Astyanax mexicanus: one gene and its partners. The protein of the gene in region 2 purifies or fractionates together with the protein of the main gene of each other region. This does not show direct contact. Links are inferred from orthologs where the notes say so. Each region holds a gene or a part of one and is shown on either strand. Other genes may lie near its edges. The genes, in order: aebp2, eed, phf19 and phf1.

Region 1 (7,592 bases), on a different chromosome or scaffold from region 2:
ATTGGCTCCGGTTCGCTGAGGGGGGTGAGGCTTGGGTGGCTGAAGAGAGGTCTGAAATCCGTTGTAAGCTTCCGTTTTTCCGTGCAGAAAGTTGCCCTGGGAAATAGCCACGTTCAGGGTCATCTCTTGTTCTCTAAAACCATGCTCCGTCTGCACGTCCTCCCGCAATCCCCTCTATAACACGTTTTTTTCAGAGCTGGTTCAGTCCTTCCACTATCTGCGGCAAGAGTGTGGAAGTCAAGGGTGTAACTTGTTGCAGAATAGGTGCCTTGTTTAAGCTCACACATTTGCAAACCCAGCTCTTTACCGGCTGCAGGGTGTGGTCAAACACAGCTTTAAACTGAGCAAAAAACAAAGCTTTAGAGCGTAAATGTCACTGTTGGCCGACCATAGGGCAGTAGCCCATTCCTTAGCTTTACACGTAAGCAGTGTTGTGATTACCTTTTAGCGTGTATTGCAATAAAAAGTTGCATGCACCAGGAGAGCCATCATAGTGTTTGGGAACGGCGATAAAGTTGGAGGAGGATGGTTTAGCTGTTAGTACAACATCAGCTGTTTGTACAGCAGCCTGTTCTGGTACACTGCAGCTGGTTCCACTACATGCTGTGGCAAACTCTAAACAAGCTGGGCCAACACCTCCAGTTTTTGCATTCTAATGAATATATTTTTAAATAATATAGGACAACAATGCAAAAAAAAGAGAAAACTCCTCTTCAGTTTTTTCTTATTTTGTTGAGGTCTGGGGACTGAGATGGCCAAGAGCTTGATGTTGTGCCTTGTGAACCATTTTTGAGTAGAATTGGCCACATGTTTAGGGTCATTATCTTGTTGAAAGACCCAGTGACGACCCATCTTCAGCTTTTGGGCAGAGGACACCAGATTCTGATTCAAAATATCCTGATACTTTATGATCTCATGTATCCTTACAAGGTCCCCAGGTCCTTTAGAGGAGGAACAGGCCCACAGCATCACCCGTCCTCCCCCATACTTAACAGTGGACATAAAGTGTTTTCCTGCATAATCAACCTTAGTGTTACTCCAGACCCATTTTGAGTGTTTGTTACCAGAAAGCGCTATCTTGGTTTCATCTGACCAAAGCAGACTGTACCAGTTAAAATCCCACTATAGCTTGGTAAACAACAGCTTGTTTTACGCTTATGATTATAACTCAAAAAGGCTTTCTCTGTGCTGCTTCCCTTCCAAACAGCTTGTTGGCATGTAAAAGGCGCCTGATGGTTGTTTGGAAGACCTCTTAACACTACATGCTACCATTTGATTCAATTCTCTTACAGTGAATGTGGATCAGGGCATCTGCAGATGAGTGGCTATTTTCTTGTAGCCATTGACTGCTTTATGAAGGTCAACACACATCTATACACTTGAATGTTATGTTCTCATGTCTTTCCCATGTTTCAGATGAGTAGGAGAAATAGACCTTTTTGTAATACTGTATTTACACCCCAGGGAAACACAAAGTGATTATTTACCAATTAAAGGTTCCTACACACTTTGATTCACTTTATAAACTACAGTAGAAATGACATAATTTGTTTAAATACATTTCATTCCAAAAAATTGTTATGGGATGCCAATAATTGTGTCACAGGTTTTTTTTTTATTCACTTGAGTTAAAGGTTGCTTTTTTATTTTTTCCGTGAGATTATGCTTTTGCAATAAAAATGACATTTATTTTAAGGCTTTTAACACATTTTAACTAGGTATGCTAATAATTATGGAGGGCGCTGTAAAGTGAACTTTTCCCAGTAGCTCATTGCCTCATCATGGCTGGGCTGATCTTCAGGATTTTCTAACATGCTTTTACCTATCTAGGGGTATTTATAACAAATAAGTTTGACAAACTGATTAAATACAACTTATTCAAACTTTTTTACATACTAAACAAGACCTGAACATTGGACATTACTACCCCTATGATTAGCAGGGTGCATCAATGTAATGAAAATGAATATACTCCTTAGATTTCTATATATTTTACAATGCATCACAATTTTTAATTACTAAATCTTATTTTATTAACCTTGACAATACTATTTACAAATTTGTTTAAAATAAGAAGGTCCTGAGGCTTCGGAAGTCAACTCTACAAAAACCTAAACTCTTAGGGGGTATGGCACTGGCCAACATTATTTTTTACTATTGGGCTGCTAATTTTCAACTTACTGTTTATTGGTTGCATTTAGATAAGCTAGCCTCTGTGTCTGCCTGGTTATACCATGAATCTGCTTCCCTAGCTCCCACCTCATTAGCTTTTTTTCTAATTTTCTTAGTACAGCCACATAAACCAAGTTGCAATAATATTATTGTCAGGTCTACAGTTCAGGCGTCATTTTGGTATACAGTCGCTCCCACTATTAACTCCACTTTGTGCGAACCCACTATTTCCTCACTCGCTGCAAGATAGAGTCTTTAAGATTTGGCAGGACCACAGATATATTTAACTGCAATTTCTAATCCAAACAAGCAACAATTTATAAAGGAAAATCACAAAAATGATCAGGGGTGCCCAATTTAAATTTTGTAGCGTTTCTGACGCTTTAGCGAGGCAGCTTATTCTGTTACATTTGAAGAAAAAAAAAAACATACCCCCCTTCCTACACACACTGGGTAAAAGATGCACTACACTTTATAAAACTAGAAAAAATTAACCACACCCTAAAAGGATAGTGAATAGGGTCCCTTTTTAAAACATTTAGATGTTTTGGAACATTATCCTTCTTTAAGAATTAAATTATTTCCACTGTAAAATGGAAATGATAGTCATGGGACGCTGCACATCTTGGTAGAAACATACCCTGATAAACAGCATTAATCATACAGGTCAACCATCCTGGTTATACTGACAGACAAGCTAGACCATGAAACTCAATTTACATTATGTGCTGTGCTAGTCAAGAGATACACAAGCAGACATTATTTGAGTTATTGGCGTAGCTGGTCTGTGAGTATGACCAAGGTGGTTAGCAAGTATGATTAGTATGATATACTGGCACAACTAAATAAAAAACAACCATCTATTTCTCTAATTAAACACACTAACGCTAATACCACTGGTCTCAGCTACACTGGTGAAGTGTGCTACAGTGTTTAAAGCTTGGTTGTGTAGTAACACTGTCCTGCCTGTTTTAGTAGTTTTTTGCTGTATCACACCAAGCTCAACTGCTACGTGAACACAGTTCACAAAATACAATCTGTATTTAAAAACAAGACTGTGATTATCTTACATTGATTATTATATTTCCCTTTATTAAAAGTTTCAGTGTTAAGAAGGAGAAATCAAAATCAGATTATAAGATTAATTTCAGCAAACTGCGATTAATTAGTTAATTTTAATCGTTTGATATTCATGACACAAACACACTATAGATCTGTAACGATCTGTATCACTTATGTCATTTTCAGCTGGATTTAACTTCTCGCTTTACATTTTGGCCAGTCAATTTAAATTGCAGAAATAAAATATAGGCTCGTTTCTTTGTTTTTTGGTTTAAACACATGAAAAAAAATAGGAATTCAGTCCTACTTTATGTTTCTGCTTTATGTCTACAAAACGAACATATGGTTAATTATTTTGATCGCGAATCATGGGCGGGCTTTAAGCACTCTTCATACCCCATTGGTCAGCCTGAGTGATCACGTGCTCTCTCGTTGTTCGGGAAAAAAAGTCCCAGTAAAATCTCGGGCAGGAGAAGTAATACACGCGAAGCAATATATCTCATATTTTCTCCAAATCCAGTCAAATAAATTTAGGTTGTAGACTCTGACTGAGGACTGTATATGTACTCCACAATCTGAGGAAAAGCTAAGTTTACATGCACGCTGATAGTAATCCGGTCTAAACAGACGAGCAATAGTATCACAAAGTGTACACCGTGACAACGAGTATTACAGCTCTGTGTGGAGTGTTTGTTCTTTTGGTTGCACGAGCCAGACACCAGTCTTATCGCTGATGACACAAAATATATATATATACAAGTGCTGTAAGATGAGAGTCATACCATTAATACCAGTACAATAAGTTACAGGTAACAAGTGAAACACGCATTAATTCGACCGAATTGGAGAAAATATCAGATATATTGCTGCACGTATGTTACTCCTGCCGCCCGAGAGTTTTACTGGGACTTTTACCTATACAACGCTTCTGAGAGCACGTGATCACTCATACTGACCAATGAGGTAGGAAGAGCGCTTTAAGCCCGCCCATGATTCGCCATCAAAATAATGAACCATATGTTAGTTTTGAAGACATAGGGGAAAGTCGGACTGAACTACAGTTTCTGTTTTAGTGTGTTTACAACAAACAAAAAACGATGAAACGAGTCTTTTGTCACTTCTTCTATTTTCTATTTAGTTCAAGAATCAACCTATCAAAATGTACACGGACTGCGGCAAGTATTTTATTAGTTCGTATTCCAATTTTATACGTAAAATCAGTGATCGGATAATTTATTTTTTTCATTTCTGAAACGGATGTTAACCTAATGGTTAAAACTACACATGCCCGTTTTCCCATAACAGGCCCGTTCTGTTTGAAGTAGTCCAAACACGTGGAGTCAGTAAGAGCGACGTCATCTCTTGGCCCCGCCCCGCACGTCCCTGCTCAACCTCTCTCTCGGGCTGTGTGCTCGTAGCTTTGCTGAGGAGAACAAATGCTCACGGTTTGACTCGCTCGGCTCTTCTCAAACTTACTTAGACGCCCCCAAGATACTTCCCACCGTCGAGGATGGCTTCCGCCGCGACCACCGACGCCAACGAACAAGACTCCGCCAAAGCCGGCGATCAGAACGGCGAGGAGAGCGGCGAGGGCCTGCTGCGCGCTCCCGATCAGGAACCGGGTGAGGGCGAGAGCGTTAAAATGGACGAGAACTGCGAGCTCGACGGAGCGACAGGCAAAGAAGAAGCCCTGGCCGAGGCTAGCGAGTCCGCGGAGAGCCCGTCGAGCGGTGAGGCTGAAGCGGAGGAGCTGAAGAAATGCCCCGAGCAGAAGAGCTCAGAGAGCGGGGAGAACTCGGCGGCCGTGCCGGGGGAGCTAAAGCAAGAACAAAGAGAGGAGGAGAGCGTGTCCTCGCCGGCCGAGTGCCCCAGCAGTAAAGGTGAAGAGTGTCCGGACAAAACCGGCAGCGGGATAAAGAGGAGAGCCAGCGTGGAGATGTCCTCCTCCTCCGATGGAGAACCCCTGAGCCGGATGGACTCTGAGGACAGGTTAGTAACTCTATTATCGAGGATCATGAACAGAGTGCCTGAGGTACAACAGCAGAGTCCGCCTACTGCCTCCACCTACAGCTGCAGCTACAGCCCCACTGCCCGTAACTGTGGAAAAACAATGCGTGCTGGTACAGCTATGTGTGCTGCAGTGATAATATAAGACCTGTTATACTGTTATAAACAGACCTAGGGGCTTCATTACGTCTCTACTCTTTTATCGTAAAATCACAGCAGCAGCACTCAGTCAGAACTCAATTTATATGAGTAAAATCTCAAATGATAGATCTCACTAATGCAGTTTTATCACTAATTTTAATTTCAGAATTAGAATATCAGATATACAGATCTATACATCCCTTCGGACTCGTCATATTTCCATATCCCTAATGTAATTCTGTCTATTATTCTCATGGAATTAAATCACGGGTGGTACGTGTAGTCCTATATAACTATACTGTAACTGTGTGTAGTAAACAGTCCAGCTCCACACATTTTTAAACTTCTACAGTTGGAGTTTTTACAAGTAATGATACGGTTACTGATATTACAGTGAATTACTGTGTTGGCCTGTCATAATTATGATAATTAGTTGATTAGATTTATCGTACAGTATATGGACATGGCCTAATTTAGAATATCTAAACATATTAAGATTTACAATTGTACATGTTCTAAAAAATTACAGTCTGGATATCTATAATTATAATGAGATTTGTTGAATATTCTCATTTTTGCTCACATGGGTGTAATGTGGTCTGGATTCATCATTGCACTTCACCTTAATCCCATGGCCCTAAATTGTCCTTAGCTATGTAGTGTATAACCCAGATGGGACCTAGTTAAAACCCCTTTTGGTCACATCACTGGCCCGTCGTAATGAACACTGGTATTGTTCAGAAATGCCCAGTGGAACGGTAACCTTTGTAATATAGCAAATACACAGTTCAGTTTTTGATCCATTGGCTTCCACTGAATTTAGATTAAAACAAGAATAAATACGTAAAAATTCATCAGGTGTTTTTAGCTCTTGATCTCTTTAATTGTTTTTGTCTACGTTTGTGCACTTTACTAATAGTATCCAACATATGTCATTTGTCACATCAGTATACTTTAATAACACATTTTGATATCTATAAAGATAAGACTTTATACATTATTCTCACATGTCTTACCTTTAGGAAAGTTTTGAACACAAGATACATGAACAAACCATTACTCATGAAACTTCTTTAACTTCACAAGCTTCTCATGCAACGCTCTATTCAGAAAGTACTGTGCTCCTAAACATTTAACATCATACTGTCTCTTAGGCCCCACATTAGACCTTTGTCCTAGTGCATATAATGTTTAAGCTCAACTGACAATATTGTGTTTTAGTACCTTGTGATAGTGTTTTGCATTTCATACAATATGAAAGTTTGTATATATAAATGTTTGACTGTAATTTGATAAAGGTATACGTTCCTCCAGAGGTAGAGGTAGAAATTGAGAAAGCTCTTGATAGAAGGTATCCTTGTACAACAGTACGAGAGTTTGCCAGAGAACACCTAGTCCAAAAATATGCTTTGGACAGATGACTTTTGCCTTGTTTCTTTTTTTAACATAACTGTAAACCTTAAAGCTTCTCTAATATGTTTATGAGCATATAAGCAATCTCTATATTAATCAATGCACTATATATGAAAAAGGGGATGATCTCATAATCATAGCTTTTAATTAATTAATTTTTTTATTAGGCTGACAGTAACAAAGCAATTAAAAATGTACCCTCATAAGAATGCTTCCATGGTCTTTAGTCATGGTCTGCTTAGACATTTAATAAACAAGTTTTGCCCTAATTTCTAAATGAAATATTTGTATCTGAAATTGGCTTAAATGCATTTAATGTACAATTGTATTTCTGACCATTTTCATTGGCTTCAGTTTCAGCATAATATCAACATAGCATACTGTATAGCATAATTCTTCTCATTTTACATCAGATTTAACAGCTCCTGTTAAGCAGCGCAGCTGACTGAAAATCCCCTTGTACTCAGCAGTAGCCTTTGAAGGTGTTAGCAATAATACTAATTGTTTATTAATTTTTGATTTTTGAAAACAAATTAATAGTGCTGGTTAGAAAGGGTAAGTTCCTTTTATCATTTTCTATTATGATAAATATGTAGAATTATTGCCCAGCCTTAGGTATAATTATGTAACTGTGCTGCTGTCATCAGTGGATGTTTTTAAACTATAAATAGTATATAGTATATAATTATCAAATTACCCAGTGTTGACCTTTTTGGTCACCTGAGAAAGTGCTCCACATATATAGATGAGACCTTTTGTTGGCTTGCATGTGTGATAGTATCGGTAAGCAGGCACCT
Region 2 (7,287 bases):
CATGAATAAACTTTCTGGACCCATACATTTCCTTATACCATGTATGGTCACAGGAAGAAACAACCGGTGTACTGGTTTAACTGGAGGTGTGTTGTAACCATGTTCAGTTGTGCAAGCTGCAGTAGAAGGTAAATAGAGGTGTATTTTGGATGGATTGAGCACTTTTTCAAAAATGATACTTTCACTTGTGAAAGTGACTTCTATTTTTTCACTCAGTTTACTTTAAACATTCACATTAAGTGTTTGGGGTTTAATTTACCTCTGTTTTGTTAGTAACTGTACCTGTATTTTCTGTTACATGCTAGCATCTCTCAGTTAAAAGCATTAGCAGCCTGCTTAAAAGAAGATTAGCATAGCCGCTAACAATAATAAAGGCAGCTGAACAAAAGCAGCTCTACAAACTGCAGAGCTGTATCCAAATGCTGGGTTTTGGACATTGGTCGTTTTGCTGGGTTATTTCCACAATGCTGGGTATTTCTTGTGTAGTATTTGTGTAGCCCAACTTCCAGGTTAGCAGCTCAGATTTCAGCTGTTGTTGTGCTAATGATAGAATTCACAACGTATCAAATGTCAATTTGTACCTGAATATTAATTCATTTTAAAGTGGATGTTCATTTTATCTGTGTACTAGTTTAACAGAAGCTGGTAACTCTGATTAACTTACGCTGTACAACAGAGGTAACTCTTGGTCTTACTTTTTGGGATGGTCCTGATGAGTGCTAGTTTCATCATACTTTTTTCTTTACTTTGTTCAGTAGTTCTTGCCATAATAAGGATTAGAACATTGCTCAAATAGGGCTATTTACTGTATACCTGTAACTCTGTAACTGATGCTCTCAAACACATTAAGAGGCAATAAATTCAAGTAAGAACTCTTGACGAGTTCAGCACAGCTGTTAACTGAAGGCTGTTCCAGGTGACTAACTCATAAAGCTGACTGAGAAAATACTAAGATGTTCAAAACTGTCATCTAAGCAAGAGGTCCTACTTTAAATAATCTAAAATTCAAAACACATTCTTTTTTAACCCTTTTTGTTAAATAAATCATTTCATATCTTTTTTCCCTCATAATTTGGATACCTTTAGTATTAATTTACAATGTAGAACAATGTAAAATAATGAAAAAACATTGTGTGCATTTTTGAAAAATATGTTTTTTAGAACATTTATTTTTTATTTTTGCATAAATGTGGTTTAAACTAAAATCATAAAGCGCTAAAGTATGTGGTTTAAGCAGAGCAGTAGTCCAACATGATAGAATGAAACTGAACACACACACAAAAAAAAGAAATTAGGCCTACTTGCTGGAACTTTCCTGAACTATGAACTTGAGCAGAAGTGAAAGTATGATTAAAAACACAAGAACAGCAATTCATTAATAATTTATTTGCACACACATAACTGATTAAACAAATGTTGCTAATGTTGCACATCCAAAGATAAAGATTAATCTGTTAGGAGCTTAATCTCACAGAGTTCCTGATTCCCTTCCACAATGTAGGTCACGAAACTCTGGCTGTGACCGAAAAAAAAGATTTGTACTCACTAATTAGTACTGCGCAATATTAGGAGGAACTATTTAGTTTCTAGTTTAAGTACTAATTGTGTTTAAAGTCAGTAAGTAAAAGTATTGAACGTGTTAAAATAATCTTGACTGTTATGTTACTTAGAAATATAAGCCTCCAATTCATGAACTAGGTACTACACGGGACAATATGTGAAATTAATGGTCCAGTGACTCGTAATTAGGTTATCACTGGCTTAATTATCTCCAGTTCTTTCCATTGTCTGTTGCTTAGTAATGAGACTCACAATGCATTTTGGTCCACAGTCACCTCATAAAGTAAGCTATGCTGTTTACTATAAAAGACATTGTGGAATATTTGGTCACACAAATAGAACAGTATATAGAGGCTCTTTAACTGTCCTGCAGAGCTCAGCTACTGTCCTGCGGAACTCTTTAACTGTTAAAAAGCTCCGCGAGACAGTAGCTGAGCTCCACGGGACAGTAGGTGAGTGTCGCAAAACAGCAGCAACAGGACAGGGAAAGTTTTTGCTCGTACTGCCTCTCCCTATTAGGCTACAGAAGGGTGTGTAGTGTCGTTAAAGTATGCAGGATGGAGAAAAATAAATCCAACCAATTTGAAAGAATAGGAAAAAAATCAAATCGTGACCCCAAGAATCGATTCTGAATCAAATTGTGGGATTTCCATAGATTCACAGCCCTAATGATTTAACATAATATATGTATTATATGTGTTAAACTTTACTTACATTAAATATGTATATCTTGTTGATATTCTATTCTTATAATCTGTACTGTAGTCTTATAATAATTAAACAAATTAACAAACAAACAAATTAATTTACTTTTTTAATCCTGCTGCAAAGTATTATATTCATAAAGAAAAATTCTTAAAGGATACACCCAAATTGACAATATTTTTACCTGAGGTAGAATATATCATAAAAAGTCTTAGAATTATTAATAACATAAAAAATACTACATTTCGAAAAAGCTATGGTGGAGTTTTTAACAAACAAATAAAAAGACAAAAATGGAAGCATTGTGTGTGTATATTGAATAGTTATTTTCTCTTAATATTATTATTGGTATTATTTTTATTTGTTCAAGATAATTGATATGTTTTAGAGTCTAGAGATTTAATTAAAAAATATATAATGCTCATCTGATTTTGTACTTGTCTTTTATACTGTGGAAAAAAGACAGAGAGAATCTTTTACTAATGTACTCTGAATGCAGAAATATGCAGAGAAGTGAAACATCTCATTTTTTGGCCTTATTTATTTCTTTATTATTTTATTGTACTTTGTAAAAGTTAGTTCTAACTTCATTTTAACTGTTTCTTTTGTTGTATTAATCTTATCTTCTTTTGATCTTAGTTTCTTATGAATTAAACAAAGTTTTAGTATTGTTTTTTATTCTTATTTTATTTTTATCTATTTTAGTTTTATTCACTGTTATTTTGAAATGATTACATGTACATATTATTTTCTTTGCCATGTCATTCCCTGTTTTTGTAAATGCTTTGCTATTCTGAAAGTAAGGTTGCCTTTAATGTACTTCCGAGTCAAAATAAAGCTTGATTGATTGATTGCTTTTGTGCAGTTTTCATATTTAATTTTACTGTAGTAACTTTTATACATGTTGTTGTCATGTTCCTCCTCAACATGTTTCATTAAAAAATGCTCTTAAATTCACTTTGCATGCATATATGTTTAAATGGGTTTTTGAAGGCTATTTTTCTCAAATAAATTTGTTTTGTATTCTATAAAAGTGGGTGAGAAAAAGTGGGTCCCTGGTTGAGACCTGTTGAGAAGCCCTGCTTTAAATCAGGGAGGGATGCATTCAAATCCTACCTGTGTAGGACGAGTGTGGACGTGAGTGATCGACCTACAATAGCTAGCTTAGTGCCCTACCTAGGGAGTATAAATCCACTATTTGAGACGTGCCCTACACGTACGGTGAGTGTGCCAGGTCCTCTTGCAGCGTTCGGCTGGTGATCTGTCTCAGGGCTCCCCCTGCTGTTCGGGACGCGCTAACACGCCCGGTGTTCTGTCGAGTTGCGCTACCCGTCGATGCGTGCTACTTAGCGGCTCTGCGCATGCGTGAATTCTCATTTATTTATTTATTTTTGACTATTTTCACGTGTTTTACAATCTGAGATCACTGAATTTTATATATTATTTTGTATTAAATTTGAAAATATAATAAAAAATAAATATAAAACGACTTCTTATACCCTATATTGCCCTAACGAACTCTAGTACAGCAAATTTAGGCTATTTTTTAGGCTATCCAAATATCACACCGAGACTTCTACAGCGGGCATTTTCTTTTCTTTTTTTGTAAAATTAAATCGCACAATTTTTTATGCTACCTTCACAAACCGTGCTACCCTTGTAGTATATTTATTAAATGCAAAATAAGCACCATATTAGAGCATATTCTCAGTGCAAGTCTATGTAAATTTTTGGAGAGCATAAATCACTGTATCATTGCACAGTTTTGTAGTAGTGAGAGGTCATTACAAAATATTTTTTTATAGTTATTATTGTATTTATTGTTATTATTATATATTTTTATTTGATGACAGTGAGTCCATGTTGTTTAATGTACAAAAAATATTTCCTATATATATAAAAAAGCGAGAAATAATTGATAGCTGTAGGTCAGCGCATGCGCAGTGCCTTTAGGAAGCACGTTTCGACGCGTAGCGCAACTCGACAGAGCACCGTTCTTCGGTCTGCAGTAGCGGAGCTCCTCTCCACGCCGCTTTGTGGCAGCGCAGCGTGGCCGCCGGGTTTTTCTTCAGCAGAGGAAGAAGAAGATGAGGGGGAAGATGTCTGAAGCTCCTGCCGAGGCGGGAAACGACATGCCGGCAAAAAAGCAGAAACTAAGCAGCGACGAGAACAGCAACCCGGACCTTTCCGGAGACGAGAACGTAAGAGAAGATCCCGCGGCGGCGGGTTCTAGTTATATATATGTTAGCGGGAGCTCCGGGGATCCGGGGCCGCGGCTCGCTCTCTCTCTCCGCCTCTACTGATGCTCTGTTTACCGGAGCTGCAAGTTTCCCTCGCTGGTTAAAATAACTTACCTCTGATGTGTTTAATTTTATCGAGCCTGGGGCGGACTGGTGTAAAATTGTCCTTTTTTAACCCTTTTCTGTGTTTCTATAGGCTTTGTTTTCTGTGAGACTCACTTTAGCGAGGTTAGCGGAGCTAGCTTCCAGTTTTGTTGTTCAGGTTAGCTGCTGGCTAACTCGCTGAATTCAGTGTAATAAAATAGCTGGGCTAGCTTAGCTTGGGTAGTTTCACTAGTTAATTTAGCCCTTTTAGACCTGAATTAAGATCCAGTGATGAAAACATAAGAATGCTATGTGCCTGTGATGAACACAAAAAAAAAATCTAATATGAACTTTCTGTAAAAAAGTCTATTAACTAAAATATTAGTTAAAGAGAACGGTATTACGTACACTTCAGTATTCCGTACAGTTGAGCATTTAAACAATAAAATACTTAATAATAAACTATTGTTATGTTTGAAATATAGTCTGGGGTCATTGTCAATCCTTCCTCTTTCCATTAAAACAGGTCAGTGACCATCCACGTTGTGTTTTCTCTTGAAATTCCGCTAGGTAGGGAGGAAAGGTCCGCGTCGCCGAAAACGGGTGGGTGGGGAAGGGTTAACAACGTTGAGGCTAGGGGGTGGGGAAAACTTTATCGACTAGTTTTTAACATCACATTTCACCCAAAATGCAACGTTAAACATCCAACTAACAGCATCCGTTGTAATATTTGATTGAGGAATTAATAATCATAGTTTATAACTTACTTTAAAAACGAGCTTACTCCAGCTCCACATCACCACTCACAGACAGCTGAGATTTTGTGCTGCAGCTTCAGCACATTTTTTTTTTCAATTCATAGACAACTTATCAAATCCATTTGACAAACACTTTACTAAGCTTCTACGTCAGTCTAAGCTCATATGTTATAGGTCATAGGTCGGCAATAGGCGGCTCGCGGGCCAGATGCGGCCCGCAAGCAAGAAACATCTGGCCCGTGAGGTTGAACTATAATGAAAAAAAAAATCGGACTGTCCGTCTCAAAAATGCTCTTTATTTAGAAACTTAATTTTCCAAAACAGAAAAATTTATTAAAGATTTTTTGATAGAGCCACGGGCTGTTAGATAACTGCTAGCTCCTTTATTCTGTTATTTTTTTTTTTATTCGTTTGGTTTTTTTTTTTGTTTAACAAACAGGTATATCATTAATAGCGCCCCCAATGGTCAGTCCACAGATTTCACCCACATCAGCCCACTTGAATGTCGTCTGCTTGTCATTTTAACCTCTTACTGCAGAAGCGCCCTCTAGCGGGCCCGCCGGCGGGCCCGTTCTGACTATGTAAATTAGAACGCTTAAAAGCGTCAAATATTCTAAACATACCGACCAAATAACCGACTCATATTCTTTAGTACTACTTTAACTACCTGCATGCAAATTTACAGCCATCTACATGAAACCAGTCGCCAGAAATCGCCAACTGAAAACAGCCTGTTTTTTCACATTGTTTACACGAGAAACACGCCTCCCCAACAAAATAGCCTTATAAAATAATATTAGTGTATAAAATAACATCATATTATATTATTGAAAATTCACTTACTATCACAGCATCCACAATACAGCACTGAACCGCAGGTAAAATATCCATAAAGTCCTTTATTTGCCTGCTCACGGCTCCTCAAAAACATGCGTTTAGTTTCAGCGCAGCCGTAACGTCGTATTCTCAAGCTCCCAGCGACTACACAATGGAATATTTTCCGTAAAGTTGTACGTGAATACAAAGCTAAGGGTGTCCTCTTCTAGATTCAGTGGTTTTTATTGGTCTACAATCCACTACTTTTCTTGAGTGATCGTCTTTTGAACCAATGGCGTGAGCGCTGGATCGCGCTGGTGTTCAGGGCTGTCCAATCAAATCAGATCATAGGCTTTTTCCAGCGTCACAAAAGTGATTGACACCTATTTCAACCAATAGTCCACCCTTAGACGAAAACACTGATACGTAATTTGCCCTGATTGGTCTCCGAATGGCTGGGGGAGGGGCATGCCAAACCGTCACCAAGTCACAAAAAAAACACCCCTCTCCAAACGCTAAAACACACAGCGCACACAGCGCGCAAACATGTGATTTTATGTGTCATTTCATCAAAAAAATATTAATATTACCCTGAGATGGACTCACATTAATTTATTTTATCACAAAGAAACAAAAAAATATTAAAATGTTGTTTTATAGAGACAGATTCACCTCTGTATCAGACTGGGGCGCTCTGGAGAGGTTTTTAAGCCTTTGGTGACGCCTGGTGGACACCTTATATATAATGCAGTATAAATTCCCATGCTGTTAAAATAATGTTTTCAAATTTTGTACTTTGTTTGACAAGACCCTAATAAACCAGGAAATGTAGAGAATGATTAGCTAATCATCACCAACATCCATACACACACTATAAACTCAAAATATAATAGGCGCTTTTTGTTTTTTTTACATTTTCCTCTGCATTTAATGTTCTCAAATAGATCCTAAATAATGAAAATTACCTCTTGAAAGTGAATTACTGTTTTGTCCCAAGTGTCTACTTCAGTTTAAGCCCTGACTGGTCATTGTGCTATATGTAAAACTTAAGATATCCAGTGTGATAGCATAGTAGTGCAAATCGCATGAAAATGAGCAAAAACATGGATCAGCAGTGAGCGCCC
Region 3 (7,574 bases), on a different chromosome or scaffold from region 2:
ATTTTAATAGCTCAGCTATTTTGAGGCAGTCTTAAAATAGTTAATTGCCTTTACTATAATAAGGTACGGGTATATATATGTTTTTTTTATACATATATTTTTTATATCTTTAATATTTATTTTTTTATGAAACTGAATGTACATTTGATGCCAAAAACATGCAAAAAAAAAGTGATTGTAGCAAATGACACACATTTTCAACACATTTTCAATAACAAATAAAATCTGATGAATAAATGGCACGCTCTAAAATGTGATTTTGTGTTTTAAACAGGAGAACTACAGTAATATTATAATATTTTAATACAAATCAATAAAATGATTTTAGAGAACTTAAACCTGAAAACTTAAAAATGCTTATTGAACCACTTTTGAACTTTTAGTATATTAAACGTTTCAATGCTCTTTTTTACAGTGTTGTTTTATACAGCCTTCCCATAGGCTCCTGGCTCCTCCATATATTTGCATATTGGGTGTGGCCTTTTCCTTACTTACCATCTTTGTGTTGTCTGTTGCTCAAAGCTGCCTTATCCTAGTTGTGCATTAGTAATGCAGTAAAGTAAGTGTTGATTGCCAGGCCTCGGTGTTTTAGGCTGTATAATAGTTTATTTATCTACATTTTTTAAGCCCAAAATACTTGAAGAAAAAAACAGTTGAGTTTACAGAACTGTTGTTGTGTGAATGAAACTTAAGTTAAGTTAAATAAACTTAAAATTGTATATATTTACAACTTAACTGAGTCAAAGCTAAATGACTAAATGAATAACTTGACTAAGTTAAGTTGAGCCAATGAATATTTTTTTACAGTGCAGCATTTGACTCAATAATGCACAAAAAAAAAATAATATTACAGCTTGGTTTGGCTCCTGCGCTTTCGCAGATCTCCACAAAGCGGACTTTATCTGTAAACAGGCACTGATTGGATCGTTCCAAGAACTCCTACTCACATTGTCTCTATAACATAAAGCCTCCAGCATTGAATTGTGGAGCAGAGGACTTTTAATTAACAGTTTTCTCTAATATGTTGGTTTTCCATTCAACACTTCTTTCAACGTGTTAGTTGTACAATACCTGTGTTGAATTTTTCCTCATATTAGTCTGTGACTCACTCTGGCCTAGTTTTTTCAATGCAATTTAAATTAAATAATGCAAAATGTGCCATAAAGAGAAACAAAGACCCAAGACCCCCTTTATTTGGTGAAAAGTAGGACTTGTTTCCAGAAAAATGCCTGAAAAATACTTTGTAATAAAGAGAGGTGTACTAAGTATTGTTTTATTTTTACTTAAAGATCTCCTTCTGCTAAAATCCACTTTTTCTTGTTCTTGTTTGTGAAATACTTTAGGTCTCTCTGAGTTGTTTATGATGCTGCATATGAAACATATGTTTCTCAGGCTCCCTTGTCTGCAGTAGCTAAGAAAAATAAAATCCTTAAGAATATAGAAAAAATATAATTATTAATAAAAAAAAAATAAAATAAGATTTTAGTTACTTTCATATATGAAACACTCCTCTAACGTGACTTCTGTTCATTTGTAGTTTACAGTAACACTACAGAAAGACCACAAATTAACTTTGTACATATATTAAAAGGTATGTTTCTGTATAGTGTTATAAATTCGTGCTCCATGTGCCCCCTTTTGACTTTCAGCACCTGCCCCTCCAAAGGTCTCTGCACGGCCCTGCGTATCAATGTTTCGTTCACATTACACACAGAAACAGATCACTTACATTTGTAAATGTGAACCAACAAGATAGATAAATCCAATCTGAGCAAAAAAATCAGTTTTGAGCAGAGGTGGAAAGTAACTAATTAGATTTACTCACATTACTGTAATTGAGTAGATTTTATGAGTAATTTGTAATTTTTTGTTATAGTTTTGAAAATAGGTAATTTTACTTTTACTCAAGTACATTTTGACACAAGTAATTTATTTTGCTACATTGGAAAATTCCCCATTACTGAGTAAATAATAAAAAGCTGGGAAAAAAACAAATCGTCTGAATTAAAAAAAAATTTTTTAAAGAGTTTTGTTCTCCATGGTAGCGCAGCTAAACGTCTCCATGCAGTGTTTATTTTGGTTAGCGGGAGAGATGCTGTGTAAATCAGCTGGGGTCTGTGTGCGTGACTCGGGGGAACCGGTGTTCTGTCGAGTTATGCTACCCATCCATATGTGCTTCTTTACGGCACTGCGCATGCACCGACCAAAGTTTTTCATAATAATTCCTTATGTTTTTATTAGAACCATTAAAAATTCTGCTTGGATGTTAAAAAAAAACGTGTAAAATAGCAGTTAAAGCATATGAATGGCAAGTTAAAAAATAATAATTACCTGTACAACTATAAAAATACAGTTTATAGTCACCTATATGACCATAACCTTTTAACTTTTTAACAGTAAAAAAAATGGATCATAGAAACCTGTGCCACTTGTTCTTGAATATGTTTTATGGGATGGTCTAAACAAATACTGCCCAAATTATTTCATTTAATAATTATTTAATTTATGATTTGTACTTTTTTACATCAAATAAATAAAAGTAACTATGTAACTTTTACTCAAAGTAAATTTTAAATTGAGTACTTTTTTACTTTTACTCAAGTAGATTTTTAGATGGGTACTTTTACTTTTACTTGAGTACAATTTTAGCAAAGTAAAGGTACTTTTACTTAATTACAATTATTCAGTACTTTTCCACCTCTGGTTTTGAGCAATGTGGCTTGTAATGTGAACTTTGCTGCAGTTGTGAGCCAGCATGAAGTTACACTTCATAGTGAGAAAATCAATTATTTTGTGTAATATTTACAATATAACCCATCAATCTTCTTTTTTACAGTGTGTAAAGCAGAATAATAATGTGGAAAGTTGATAAATATTCAAGAGAAAGGAAAAGGTGAATCCTGACACACGCTGCAGCTTATGGCCACGAAGACTTAACAACTAGACCTGCTATTTTTCACGTCCACTTTGGCCTATTGCCTGATGTTGCTGAGTAAACAAGAAAATGACCACAAATGACTAAATGGGATTGGTCAGTGTGACCTGGCAGAAAGGGCAGACTGGTTCTGCCCTCATTCTCAGTAATGTCACCCAAATGTCTCCCAGCAGGGGAAGGATTTGAGTTTATTGCTCAGTAATGACGGATTCTGCAGATACCCTACAAACTCAACACATGATCGAGCTGCACTGAAAGCTGTAAAATGTGTTATAATGAGTTAATAACATAGATATAAGTCACTGAAAAAGTTAACAGCTGTGTCTTTTTATTTAAAGTCTAATAAAAATGTATTATTTCCACACTGAAAAACATGAAAAACACATGTTGACACAACTCAGTTAAGGCGTCATCTTGCTTTTTCTCAGTTAAGTTAGATAGTCACTCGTTATTTTACACATTGTGGGCTTTAAAGAACTTACATACAATATTTATATGTATGTATATGTAGCTAAACTCTGTTCTTTTAAAGTAATAAAATATATAATTTATTTTATTTTATTTCTTAACCTTTAAAAATACTTTTAATGACTTTTATTGTGTTAATTTTCGCCTCTGTAGCGCCCTCTCAGGTTTAACTGTGCTATAGGTGAGGATGATGTTTCCGTGTACTTTGGTATGCAGACGCATCACAATGATTTGCAAATTAGTCGATTAATAATAATCAATAATACCAATACTTTAAAATGACCTGAAATAAACTCTTTTTACATTGATTTCCATTGAAAGTTTTGAAGGATTTTTCTCTCTTTTGTAAAGTTGCTGTTTTGAAAATACTTGTTTTTCATTGGACAGCGACGATATTTATGCTAAATAAAACAGTTTGTCTATTTTGTAGACAGTAACTTACCAATACATTGATTTTGTATAAAAACAGCAAACGAAAATAAAGTTATTTAACAACAAACATCCTACACCAAAATTAAAAGTGCAGGATATTTTTGAGCTTGTATTAGCTAGTAATTCTGTTCAAATGTGAAATTAAAATATTGTATTCATGTATTACACATAGAGTTTTCTGTTTTAAGTGTTTATTATATCTTTTATTGTTGCTTATTATTATTAAGCTTATTATAAAGCTTTTGACAGAGTGGGCAGTGTGCCAAGTCCTGCTGGAAAATGAAGTCCGCATCTCCATAAAAGTTCTCAGCAGATGGAAGCATGATGCTCTTCAAAAAAAAAGCAGTGTGTAAGACTGGTGGAGGAGAACATGATGCCAAGATGCATTAAAAAAAAGTCAGGGTTATTCCACTAAGTATTGATTTCTGAACAAAATTAATAATAATGAATAATATATAAAAAATATATTTTTTATTTTTTTATTTTTATTTTTTGGAATTTGGGAGAAACCTATAAATAGCAAAATCAGAGAAACTGATTCAGAAACTGAAGTGCTCTCTTGATTTTTCGCAGAGCTGCATATTTATATATATATATATATATATATATATATATATATATATATATATATATATATATATATATGTGTATAAATATATACTGTAGTATGTGGAAGGGGAGGGGCTGCTGCTGCTGCTGATGGTGCTGAGCTTGAAACCTAAATGATTCGCGGGAAAAGGTGAAAAAATGGCGACTTGCAGAGGCTCGGTTTAAGCGGAGCAGAGCAGCTCAGGACTGAAAAACTCACTTTATTCCGCGAATGGAAGCGCTTACAGCGGGCTAAACACTCCGGGAACAACTTCCACCCTCCTGAGGAGAGGAGAAATCAGCACGGTAATGAAGGAAAAGAGCGAGAAACTCGTTTATTTACTCTAAACACACACTGTTTAATAACTTACAGCCTGATAACTTACTGTAACTGTTACACTAACTCACTACTGTATTCAACGCTGTTTATCCTAACTTTTATACTTTAGATAAACCCATACCTGTGTCTTTAGTGTAGTTAGAGGCGCGTTTTCTCTTTTATTAATGTTTAAAATGAGTGTTAGCGCGTTTTCCAGCGTTATTATTCAGTTATTCACAGCTAAAGGTAGATTTGAACCAGGGAGGGAAAATCAGTTTAGCTGCTTTAGCTCTAAATATCGTTTTTACGGGAAATACACACTTATCTAAGCGTTTTTGAGCTTTATTAGCTCGCTAAGTTTATTTTTTAGTGTGTTTTTAGTATGTCAGTTAGTTAGAAAGTGCAAGCTGGAGTTTATTAAGTTAGTAGATTTGTCAGTGGTCCTGAAAGTGAAAATCCGCTCCGGGATTTCGTTCCAACTGCCGGGGCAGCGCCGCTCCAGTTCCAGTTGGAACGAAATCCCGGAGCGGATTTTCACTTTCAGGACCCGGATGACTCCTTAACCTCTATTTATCACTATTCATAAAAAATACATCTCTGGAAAAAATAAAGAGAATCTTCAATTTCTGTATTAGTTTCTCTAATTTTGCTTTTTATAGATATATATTTGACTAAAACGATCATTGTTGTTTTATTCTATAAACTAAAAACAATATTTCTCCCAAATTCCAAATATATTCCAAAAATATCATATCATTTAGAGCATTTATTTGCAGAAAATGAGAAATGGCTGAAATAACAAAAAAGATGTTCATAGAAGTTCATATTGATAAGAATTTTATTTTTAAAAAATAACCCTGTTTTTTAATCACAGTTTTTTTTCATGAATCTTGGCATCACGTTTTCCTCCACCAGTCTTACACACTGATTTTGGATAACTGTATGCTTTACACTCCTGGTGCAAAGATTCAAGCAGGGAGTGTGATTGCAGTTCAACAGTTGGTTCAAAGGGTGGTTCTGTGGTATTATCAATGGTCAGAAACGTTTGGATAAATGTTGGAATGTAAATACATGTGAGTAGCAGAGCTGTGTCCAGAAACGTTTGACTGAATGATGTAGATGCATACAGATACAGTTGGGTAATAGAGCTGTGTGTAAAACGTTTGGGTAAATGTTGGAATGCATGTATAAGTGGGGAATAAAAACGTTTGGATAAATGTTAGAGTCCAAAAACATTTGCAGAAATGTTGGAATGCAAACAGAGTTGTGTCCAGAAACATTTGGTTAAATGGGGAAATGCAAATACATATCGGTTTGAGTCCCAAACATTTGGCTAAATGTTGGAATGCTAAAACATTTAGACAGTTTAGCTGTTTTAACAAATCTTTGGCTATTTCTTAAGGTTTGAAAATTAGGCTAAATGTTGAAATGCAAATGCATTCGGCTAATAGACCTGTGTCCAAAATGTTTGGAAAAATGTTGGAATAATATCTGGGGTTAGCAGAGGGCTACAGGTCGATATACTTCGAAAAGAGCTAGTGTTTAGCGTGTTTAGCCGCTAATGCTAATACTGCTGGAGAACTAAACTGAAACTCCTGTATAACGCTGCATTTTCCTGCTACTTAATAGCTTACTAGTATTTAATAATATATGTAGATTTTTATTTTTTTATTGGTTCATAAAGTATAAAGCTATACTGTTATTTCTTTGATTGTGCAGATTTTATTATAATATATAATTAGTTTTGGTTTAGAGACAAAGTTTACAGACAAATGTCAATGCATTCCTATTGGAGTGCTTTGTTTGGTGTGCTTACTGTATGATTACTGTCATATAATACATATATAATATATAAGAATAATAGTAAGAATAATTAAACTGGGGTTGGTGTGGTACAGTGGATAACACCACTGCCCACCAGTGAGCTACCATGTGGGAGATTGGGGTTCAATTCCAGGTCTGGGTGACTGAATGCTGCGCTACGCCAATAATAATAATATATTAGTCCTTGGGCTAGACTCCTAACACTACGTTGGCCAAACTCTATAATAGGAAAACCACTTTAAAAAAGAGTGTCAGCTACATACCATAAATGTACATGTAATAGTAATGCTATAGTAAAGTGTATAACTGCATAAGGACATTAGTGTGATTGTCCACTGTTCCACCAAGAGTTAACGTTAGCCGACGTCGTTACTACTCTGCGTCTTCGCTGCTTTTGGTTTCACTCATTTCTTGGCGGATTCTGAGTCATCCAACAGTCCCTGCAGCTCCACAGAGCAGGTACTTTTTCTTTCAGCCCTTTCTTTACTTGCAAAGTGAATCAAAACTGACAGAGTGGACCGTTTGTGGCTGAATTTACATTTGTGGTTTAGAGAACAGCACTTCCTTTTGGTACCCCGTTTATATGTAGGCCTGATGGGTTAGCTAACAAAAGTTGCAGAGTAGGTAAATCTGATGCTTCAGCTCATATATGCACCTCAGAAACTTCTGCAGAAACATCTCTGCTGACATAAAACAGCTGATGTATTTGTGTTAGAGAAGATAAATGTGCTGTATCAGCAGAATTCTGATTAAATCTGAATAAATGTGAATGATGCTGACCCCCTGGACCAGAGCTGTAGTCTAATGTTCTGCCGGTTCTGTCTCCTCAGGGACTGTAGGCGTGTGAGGTAAGTATGTTGGAGGGAGCCTACCGGGACAGCTACCTGGCTGTGGGTCCGGACGAGCTAGACGCCAAACGGCTGCTGCCCAAACTTGAGACAGTTTGCAGTGATCTCGAGAGCAAGCTCACCGTCGGGCAGTACGTCCTCTGCCGTTGGTCTGACGGCC
Region 4 (7,684 bases), on a different chromosome or scaffold from region 2:
GGAACTACACATACAGCTCTGGAAAAAATAAGAGACCACTTAAAATGATGAGTTTCTTTGATTTTACCAAATTGAAAACCTCTAATCAAGAGGAAGATGGATGATCACAAGCCATCAAACCAAACTGAACTGCTTGACTTTTTTTTGTAGCAGGAGTGAGTAGCATAAAGTTATCCAAAAGCAGTGTGTAAAACTTTATGAGTATGAACTTGTTTTCTTTGCTTTCTTTGAGGTCTGAAAGCTCTGCATCTTTTTTGTTATTTCAGCCATTTCTTATTTTCTGCAAATAAATGCTCTAAATAACAATATTTTTATTTGGAATTTGGGAGAAATGTTGTCTGTAAAGACCACTAAGACACCACTTAAAAATGATGAGTTTCTTTGATTTTACCAAATTGAAAACCTCTGGAATATAATCAAGAGGAAGATGGATGATCACAAGCCATCAAACCTGCTTGAAAGTTATCCAAAAGCAGTGTGTAAGACTGGTGGAGGAGAACATGCCAAGATACATGAAAACTGTGATTAGAAACCAGGGTTATTCCACCACATATTGATTTCTGAACTCTTAAAACTTTATGAACATGAACTTGTTTTCTTTGCATTATTTGAGGTCTGAAAGCTCTGCATCTTTTTTTTTTTTGTTATTTTAGCCATTTCTCATTTTCTGCATACAAATACTCTAAAGATTTTTTTTTTATTTAGGATTTGGGAGAAATGTTGTCTGTACTTTATAGAATAAAACAACAATGTTCATTTTACTCAAACATTTACCTATAAATAGTAAAATATGAAAAACTGACCAGTATTATACCTTTGAGGGTACAATTCAGAAAAGTGTACCTTTAAATACAAGAAAGTACTTATATCATACCTCTGTTTTTTAGTGTGCATGTGTGACAGTGCTGACATATTTTCTTGTCTTTTTGGCTTTCAGTTCACCACACACACACTCACATACCGCCATTTAATCCCTTCATGACTCAACATCTGGGCGCTCCTGGTCTAACAGGAAAGTAATCTAAACTGAAAGTAACAAGCATCTCTAAGTAACTGTTTACCAAATTACCAGTTGACAGATCAAAGCAATGCATGAAAATAGCTGCTGGATTGACTGTGTTACTGTATGCAAGGTGAAATTCTCTCTTTCCTGTCTCTCCTTTTGAGCAGGCGTTCTGTGCTTGCCCTCTGGTGTGCTATCAAGGAACTGACACTTCTGCTTTCCAAAGACCTGCCAGAGGCCATTTTGAACACAACATGAATAGCAGAACTGCAAAACAATTGTGTGTGCTTTACCACATACTTAAAGCTTTGAAATGGTGGCAGCGTTTGATCGCTGAATACAATCAACCACTCAAACCATGCAGCCCGCATGACTCTGACAGCCTGTATAAGCTGGGACTATATATATAAATATATATATATATATATATATATATATATATATATATATATATATATATATATATATAGAGAGAGAGAGAGAGAGAGAGAGAGAGAGAGAGAGAGAGAGAATGTGGCAGTATTAACTAGATCCATGTATTTACATAAATTAGCATTGGGTCCATCATAAGTAGGATAATTTGAATTTTTCAACGAGTTTGTTTGTCTTGTTTTTGAAGACTAACCTACAGCTGACTATAATATATATATACTATAATATATTATATACGAAACTGAACATAGTACTATATGTTAAATACACTACACACTGTACTGTACTATAAGCAAAGTGTATTTTATAGATAGTGTGCTATGTTCACGGCTACTTCTTACTGCCATAATTAGGAGTAGTTTTAATTGGCTTGTTAGATGAATTCCCTCAATTGGGCTAATAATACTAATACTAATAAAAAATTGTGCTACTGGTAAATTTCTCTGACTTTACAGACAACATTCCTTCCAAATTCCAAATAATAATATTGTAATTTAGTGCATTCATTTGCAGAAAATGAAAAATGGCTGAAATAACCAAAAAGATGCAGAACTTTCAGACCATAAGTACTGCAAATAAAACAAGTTCATTCATAAAGTTTTAAGAGTTCAGAAATCAATATTTGTTGAAATAACCCTGGTTATTAATCTCAGTTTTCATGCATCTTGACATGTTGTTTTTGGAAAAAACTGAAAAACAGGTACAGTATAAATTCCGGACTGTAATGTTTTTTGTGCGATAAACAATATTATTGTCATTTTTAGGAGAATTTACACCTTTTTAAAGACAACATATCTGTATCTAATCATAGTTTGGAAAAAATATTTTTTTTCGCACCTGTAGTCACAGTTATTGAAGCATTGTTCAGTTATTGAAGCATGCCAGTCTAAAATACTGTTCACTGTTACAGTTTATATGTAAAAAAAAACATACAATTAAACAGGATATGCAATATCACAATTATCAAATATTATTGAGGAACAGTAAGTCAAAAATATAACGATCACAACTGGCCTAGTCATGCATGTCAATGTCAAGTGAAAGTATCAGTTAGCCTTAATGTGCTTTTAATATTAAAATACATTTTTATCTATTTTAATATTATTACCTTTAAATAATATTAAAGTAAATAACTATATTTAGGCATATCGAGTATTTGTATTTAATGTATTCAAGAGTATAGCTAATTTGTGTTATTATCTAGGTAAAATGTAACTGTTGGCCAATATAGACTGTGCTAGTTAGCTTGCTAGCTAAGTTTATTAGCTACTACTTTCACTTTTAATGGGTCTGTGAGAGGAACTCACACTTTTGTGCTAAATTACTACTAGCAAACATTTACATATCATTGCTGTCCAATAAAAAACAAGTGCCTTTAAAATAGCAACTTTACACAACAGAAAAAAACTTCTAAACTTTCAATGAAAGTTAATGTAAAAAGAGTTAATTTCAGGTCAATTTGAAGTATTTCTGTTGATCTGTTCATCAAGAAATTTTGGCACAATGTAAAAGACCATTTGTCTGTTAAAATAATTTTTTTAGCTAAAAATCAACAAAAATGTAGATACTTGTTTTTCATTGGACAGCGACTATATGTAGCATAGTAATATGTAATAATTTAATTCTGAGCATCTTTGAAAAGTTTCCCCTCTCTGATTAGTACAGTGCTAACAGCAATTAGCACAGTTAGCTGTTAGCACTGGTTTACTTAAATAGCTACAAATACTTCAGCCTTAAACACTTTTAAACAAATCTACATGTATAACATATTAACTAGTAAGTAGCTAACACATTCATTATAAATGTGTTTTATAAATTTTGGAGAAAAAAAAAAATAACAATGCACTAAGAAACAAACTAGCTAGCTAACCAGTATATTTAGTCTTGATATATTGAAACAGATTGACTGACACAGTTTAACTTAGAAATTAGCACAAAATACTGTCAGTACTAAACATATTTACATATTAACATAGTAGCTAGTATGTAACATGTAACAGCACAGAAACATTAAAGGATTTATTTATTTACAATTACACTTATGTAGCACATTTCACAATTACATTCCACACACACTGTGAGAAGCGGCAGCCAATCACGCACAGCCTACTCTCAACCGGAAACAACCATCCACCTGGAGGACTGCATCAGGCATCTGAGTTGACCCAGATCCATATCTAGGCATACATTCAAACACCAGGTACATTTTTTTAGAGTATCCAATTTTCTGGGCAATTTAGATATTTAATTTACCTCATCTCCCTGTTTTTGTGGACTGTGGGAGGAAACCAGAGTCCCTGGAGACCCAGATAGGGACTTGAACCCAAGATCCCAGGAAATAACAAAGCCACTGTGCTTCCCCTTATTTCAGGGGTTGGCAATAGGTGGCCTACGGGCAAGATGTGCTCGCAATATAAAAAATATATCTGGCCCGTGAGGTTGTTTGAACTATAATGAATGTTAATGAAAAAAATAAATTAAATAAAATGCTTCTCAGGCTAGCTTTTGTTTACAACCCTCCCCTACCTCTCTCTGGCGTGCTCAGTTCCCGCCTGTTCTTGGGCTACTTATGAGGGTGTTTTTTCTCCGGCCGTGTCCCAATTCACTAGCCGGGGCAGCGGTACTGTTTCAGACTGCGACCCTGATGACACGGGTTCGTTCCCGCGTAAGGAGTGGTGTGTTTATTTATTTATTTTTTCCTTTCTTCTTGGGTTTACCTGCTTTGAGATCAACTGTTCTGCTGCAATTGGGTTCAACAACCCTCTGGGCTGGAGAGCTACTAGTTTTTAGCGCTTCACCTCATTACTCACTTAATTTTCCAAAACAGATTTTTTTATGGGATACAAAAATATCTTACTTATTAATATACACTTAATTGCCGACCCCTGATCTATTTAAAGACTTAAATCTACTTGTAATACAATTTCCCTAAGAAAATGAACTAAAGACAGTCCAGCAGGCTCGACTGCAGGTTTATGAAAGTGGGCAGTCCCAATTTTAAGGAGGGGATGTTTTAAGGGGAAGGGTTACACTGGAAAACAAGGGGAAGGGGTACCAATTAGAAATGGGATTGGACCTTTAAAGTGTTGAGTGGACGGAGGGAAGGAGAGAAGGAGAGAAGGAGGGGGGCGGTTGAAAACTTTTCTCTCTCCGGCCAGTAGCCTGTGATACACACACACATACACACACACACACTCTCTCTCTCACACTCACACACACTCACACACACACGCACACACACGAGGTGTTGCGTCAACACAGGCTGTCTGTCGGTCACCGTGGGCTTACAGATGTGTGTGAAGGTGTGCGCGCACACACACTCACACACACACACACACACCCCTCCTCAGCAGCCAGAGCAGCAGCAACCCGCCTTATCTCTCCCTCCCACTCGACTGCTCTGTGTTTTATGTCTGCGTCACAACAAGTCGAGAGAGAGACAGAGAGAGAGAGACAGAGAGAGAGGAAGAGAGAGAGAGATGATGATGATGGTGATGATGGTGATGATGATGGCGTCTCTGTCGGCTCAAGCCTCCCTGACAGGCACGTTTTAACAACAGCGGCGAAGGAGAAGAGGAGGAGCAGAGGAGGAGAAGAGGAGGAGGACAGAGAGAGTGAGAGAGAGAAGAGGAGAGGAGGAGAGAGGGAGATGAGAACATGACGGAGCGGCGTGGCACGAGACAGACGGACTGACGGACAGACTCAACACTGACGACTTGACTGACACACACACACTGATATACACACATACACAAACACACTCATATATACACACACATACAGAGAGAGAGAGAAAGAGAAAAAAGAGAGAGAGAAAAAGAGAGGAGAGCACTCTCTCTCTCTCTCTCTTTCTGCTTCACACACACACTCATACACACACACACACACACACACACTCTCTGAAAGCACATCCACAAGAAGAGGAACAAGAAGAAGAAGAAAAAGAAGCAAAGACAAGCAAAAACAGCTCGAGGTCGGACATATTTTCATGTCAAGCACCGACAGCAGTCTCTGTGACCCCAGCAGAGAAGAGTACCACTTCACAGGTAAAGCCAGCATCCTTCTTTCTTTCCTTCCTTCCTTCCCTCCTTCCTTTCTCTCCTCTTTACAATCTGTTTCTCCATCCCCATCATCATGTGTCTAGAACCGGCAACAAGAGTAGCATCAGCAGCATCAGCACCAGCAGCAGCAGCAAATCCATCCCACCCCCCCACTTCTAACCCCCCCCAACCCCATCAACCACCCCCCCGCCCCCTCAACCCTCTCTCTCCCCACCACCTCCATAACTCATAATTCTTCCTTTTCTTCATCTTCAGCCTTATTCCTCCCAAACACAACATCACGCCACCTTTCCTAATGTGCATTCGTGCATTCGAGCTGCTGTTTGCTGTTGCGTAAGGAAGGAAACCCACAGATCCGGTTGTGGATCCAGTACAACAACAGAAAGCAAGCAGCTCCCTCGGAGCTAAAGCCTCAGTCTCTCATCATTCACAGCCCTGTACATTTACACTGTCGCTATGCACTGAGTGTGAGTTTAACCCTTTAGGTGGGAGAGTGCCCTGCATGCTCCTGAGGCCCTCGGGGCTTTCTCCTGCACTTTAAACTCCACCGGTGGAGTCAATGAGGGTGCAAAAAGCAGGGCATGGTTGAAAAAGTGAGGAAAAGTGCTCTATTGGCTGGACTTTGCAAAAGGAAAAAGTGATCAAGCGCCCACTAAAGCTGCTGAGGTGCCACTTCTCGCAGTTCATTATATGATTATGTATCTTTTAGAAGAGGAATATTTGATTATAGTACATTTATATGTCTCAATTAGTGCCTAACTATGAGTGGACTTCTGCTTTCCTGCTGTTATGCAGTGTCTTCTGTTTCTATGCCACCCCCTTGGGTGCCCATTCCAGCAGAGAAAATGGGATGCGTTGCTTTACGATGTTTCCCTACAGGTAAAACTCAATGAGAAATCACAGTGAAGTGTCCAGTTAGGTGCTTAAGCCGCAAGACAGTGTATTAAATGGGATGCAGTGCCAGAAAGGGTGTCCTAACATGTGTGAGAGTGTTGGAAAGTTTACTAATGAAAGTCTCTTTAATAGAGAATATGTGATGTGATGTTCGTATAGAATAGGTGCCCTCTCATTAGGATCAACAGTGTTTGATTAAAAAAAAAAAATGAATGATGTTTAAAAAAAAAAAAGGTAAACCTGCATTTATTCATTCTATTTAAGTTTTTTATGTTTTAGCCAAACCCCATCTAGAATGTACACATGATGTCAGATGGGACTTAATTCCAGTAGGATTTTGTGTGTGAAATAAAGTGGTAATAAAGTAGGTTTGAGAGCCTAATAATATAATGCTAATATTACTCAAGAATAAGGACTATTTTATCACACAGGGTGTCCCAGCATGTGTGTGAGAGTGTTGGAAAGTTTTCTAATGGAAGTCTCTTTAGTAAAGAATATCATCACTGTCCAATAAAAAACAAGTATCTCCATTGTTGTTGATTTTAAGGCTATTATTTAATTTGAACACAAAAACTTTTTTACACTGTATCAAAATTTCTTGATGAATGGACCAATAAAAAGTCTCTAAAATGAAAAAATAAAAATAAAATAAACTCTTTTTCCATTAACTTCCAATAAAAGTTAAGAAAGGTTTTGTCTCTCTCCTGTAAAGTTGCTAAAGTTGTTTTGGAGATACTGGTTTTTCATTGGACAGCGACGATATGTAATGTGATGTCCCTAAAGAATAGATGCTCTCTTATTAAGATTAACTGTATTTGCTAGAAAATGTATTAATAATGTTTAAAAAACAAGTTTTTTTTATGTTTTAGCCACACCCCCTCTAGAATGTACACATGATGTCAGATGGGACTTAATTCCACTAGGATCTTGTGTGTGAGGAGGTAATAAAGTAGGTTTGAGAGCCTCATAATATAATGTTAATCTTAATCAAGAATAAGGACTACTTTATCACACAGGGTGTCCCAGCGTGTATGTGAAAGTGTTGAAAAGTTTCTTCAGTGAAGAATATTGTCACTGTCCATTAAAAAACAAGTATCTCAGTTACTTTGAAAACAAAAACTGTCTTTTACACTGTATCAAAATTTCTTGACGAATGGACCAATAAAAAGTTTCTAAAATGACTTAAAAGTAAAGAAGGTTTTATCCCTCTACTGTAAAGTTGCTGTTTTGGAGATACTGGTTTTTAATTGGGCAGTGATGATATGTGATGTGATGTCTCTAAAGAAAAGATGCT

What was found.
Region 1: the proteins of eed (region 2) and aebp2 purify together in Homo sapiens (affinity purification with mass spectrometry; 6 studies listed by BioGRID and IntAct, counting the BioPlex papers as one, with this or other methods). This does not show direct contact. The link is inferred for Astyanax mexicanus from reciprocal best matches to the Homo sapiens genes EED and AEBP2.
Region 3: the proteins of eed (region 2) and phf19 purify together in Homo sapiens (affinity purification with mass spectrometry; 8 studies listed by BioGRID and IntAct, counting the BioPlex papers as one, with this or other methods). This does not show direct contact. The link is inferred for Astyanax mexicanus from reciprocal best matches to the Homo sapiens genes EED and PHF19.
Region 4: the proteins of eed (region 2) and phf1 purify together in Homo sapiens (affinity purification with mass spectrometry; 8 studies listed by BioGRID and IntAct, with this or other methods). This does not show direct contact. The link is inferred for Astyanax mexicanus from reciprocal best matches to the Homo sapiens genes EED and PHF1.

What each region holds. Positions count from the first base shown.
Region 1 is NC_064409.1:30,153,698-30,161,289, reverse strand, and holds the start of aebp2 (zinc finger protein AEBP2), read left to right. Parts: upstream 1-4,588; 5' UTR 4,589-4,744; coding exon 4,745-5,223; intron 5,224-7,592. UniProt on the Homo sapiens protein: Acts as an accessory subunit for the core Polycomb repressive complex 2 (PRC2), which mediates histone H3K27 (H3K27me3) trimethylation on chromatin leading to transcriptional repression of the affected target gene.
Region 2 is NC_064428.1:19,807,824-19,815,110, reverse strand, and holds the start of eed (polycomb protein eed), read left to right. Parts: upstream 1-4,277; 5' UTR 4,278-4,352; coding exon 4,353-4,466; intron 4,467-7,287. UniProt on the Homo sapiens protein: Polycomb group (PcG) protein. Component of the PRC2/EED-EZH2 complex, which methylates 'Lys-9' and 'Lys-27' of histone H3, leading to transcriptional repression of the affected target gene.
Region 3 is NC_064419.1:1,743,933-1,751,506, reverse strand, and holds the start of phf19 (PHD finger protein 19), read left to right. Parts: upstream 1-4,574; 5' UTR 4,575-4,729; intron 4,730-7,396; 5' UTR 7,397-7,420; coding exon 7,421-7,574.
Region 4 is NC_064408.1:114,661,933-114,669,616, forward strand, and holds the start of phf1 (PHD finger protein 1), read left to right. Parts: upstream 1-4,662; 5' UTR 4,663-5,481; intron 5,482-7,684. UniProt on the Homo sapiens protein: Polycomb group (PcG) that specifically binds histone H3 trimethylated at 'Lys-36' (H3K36me3) and recruits the PRC2 complex. Involved in DNA damage response and is recruited at double-strand breaks (DSBs).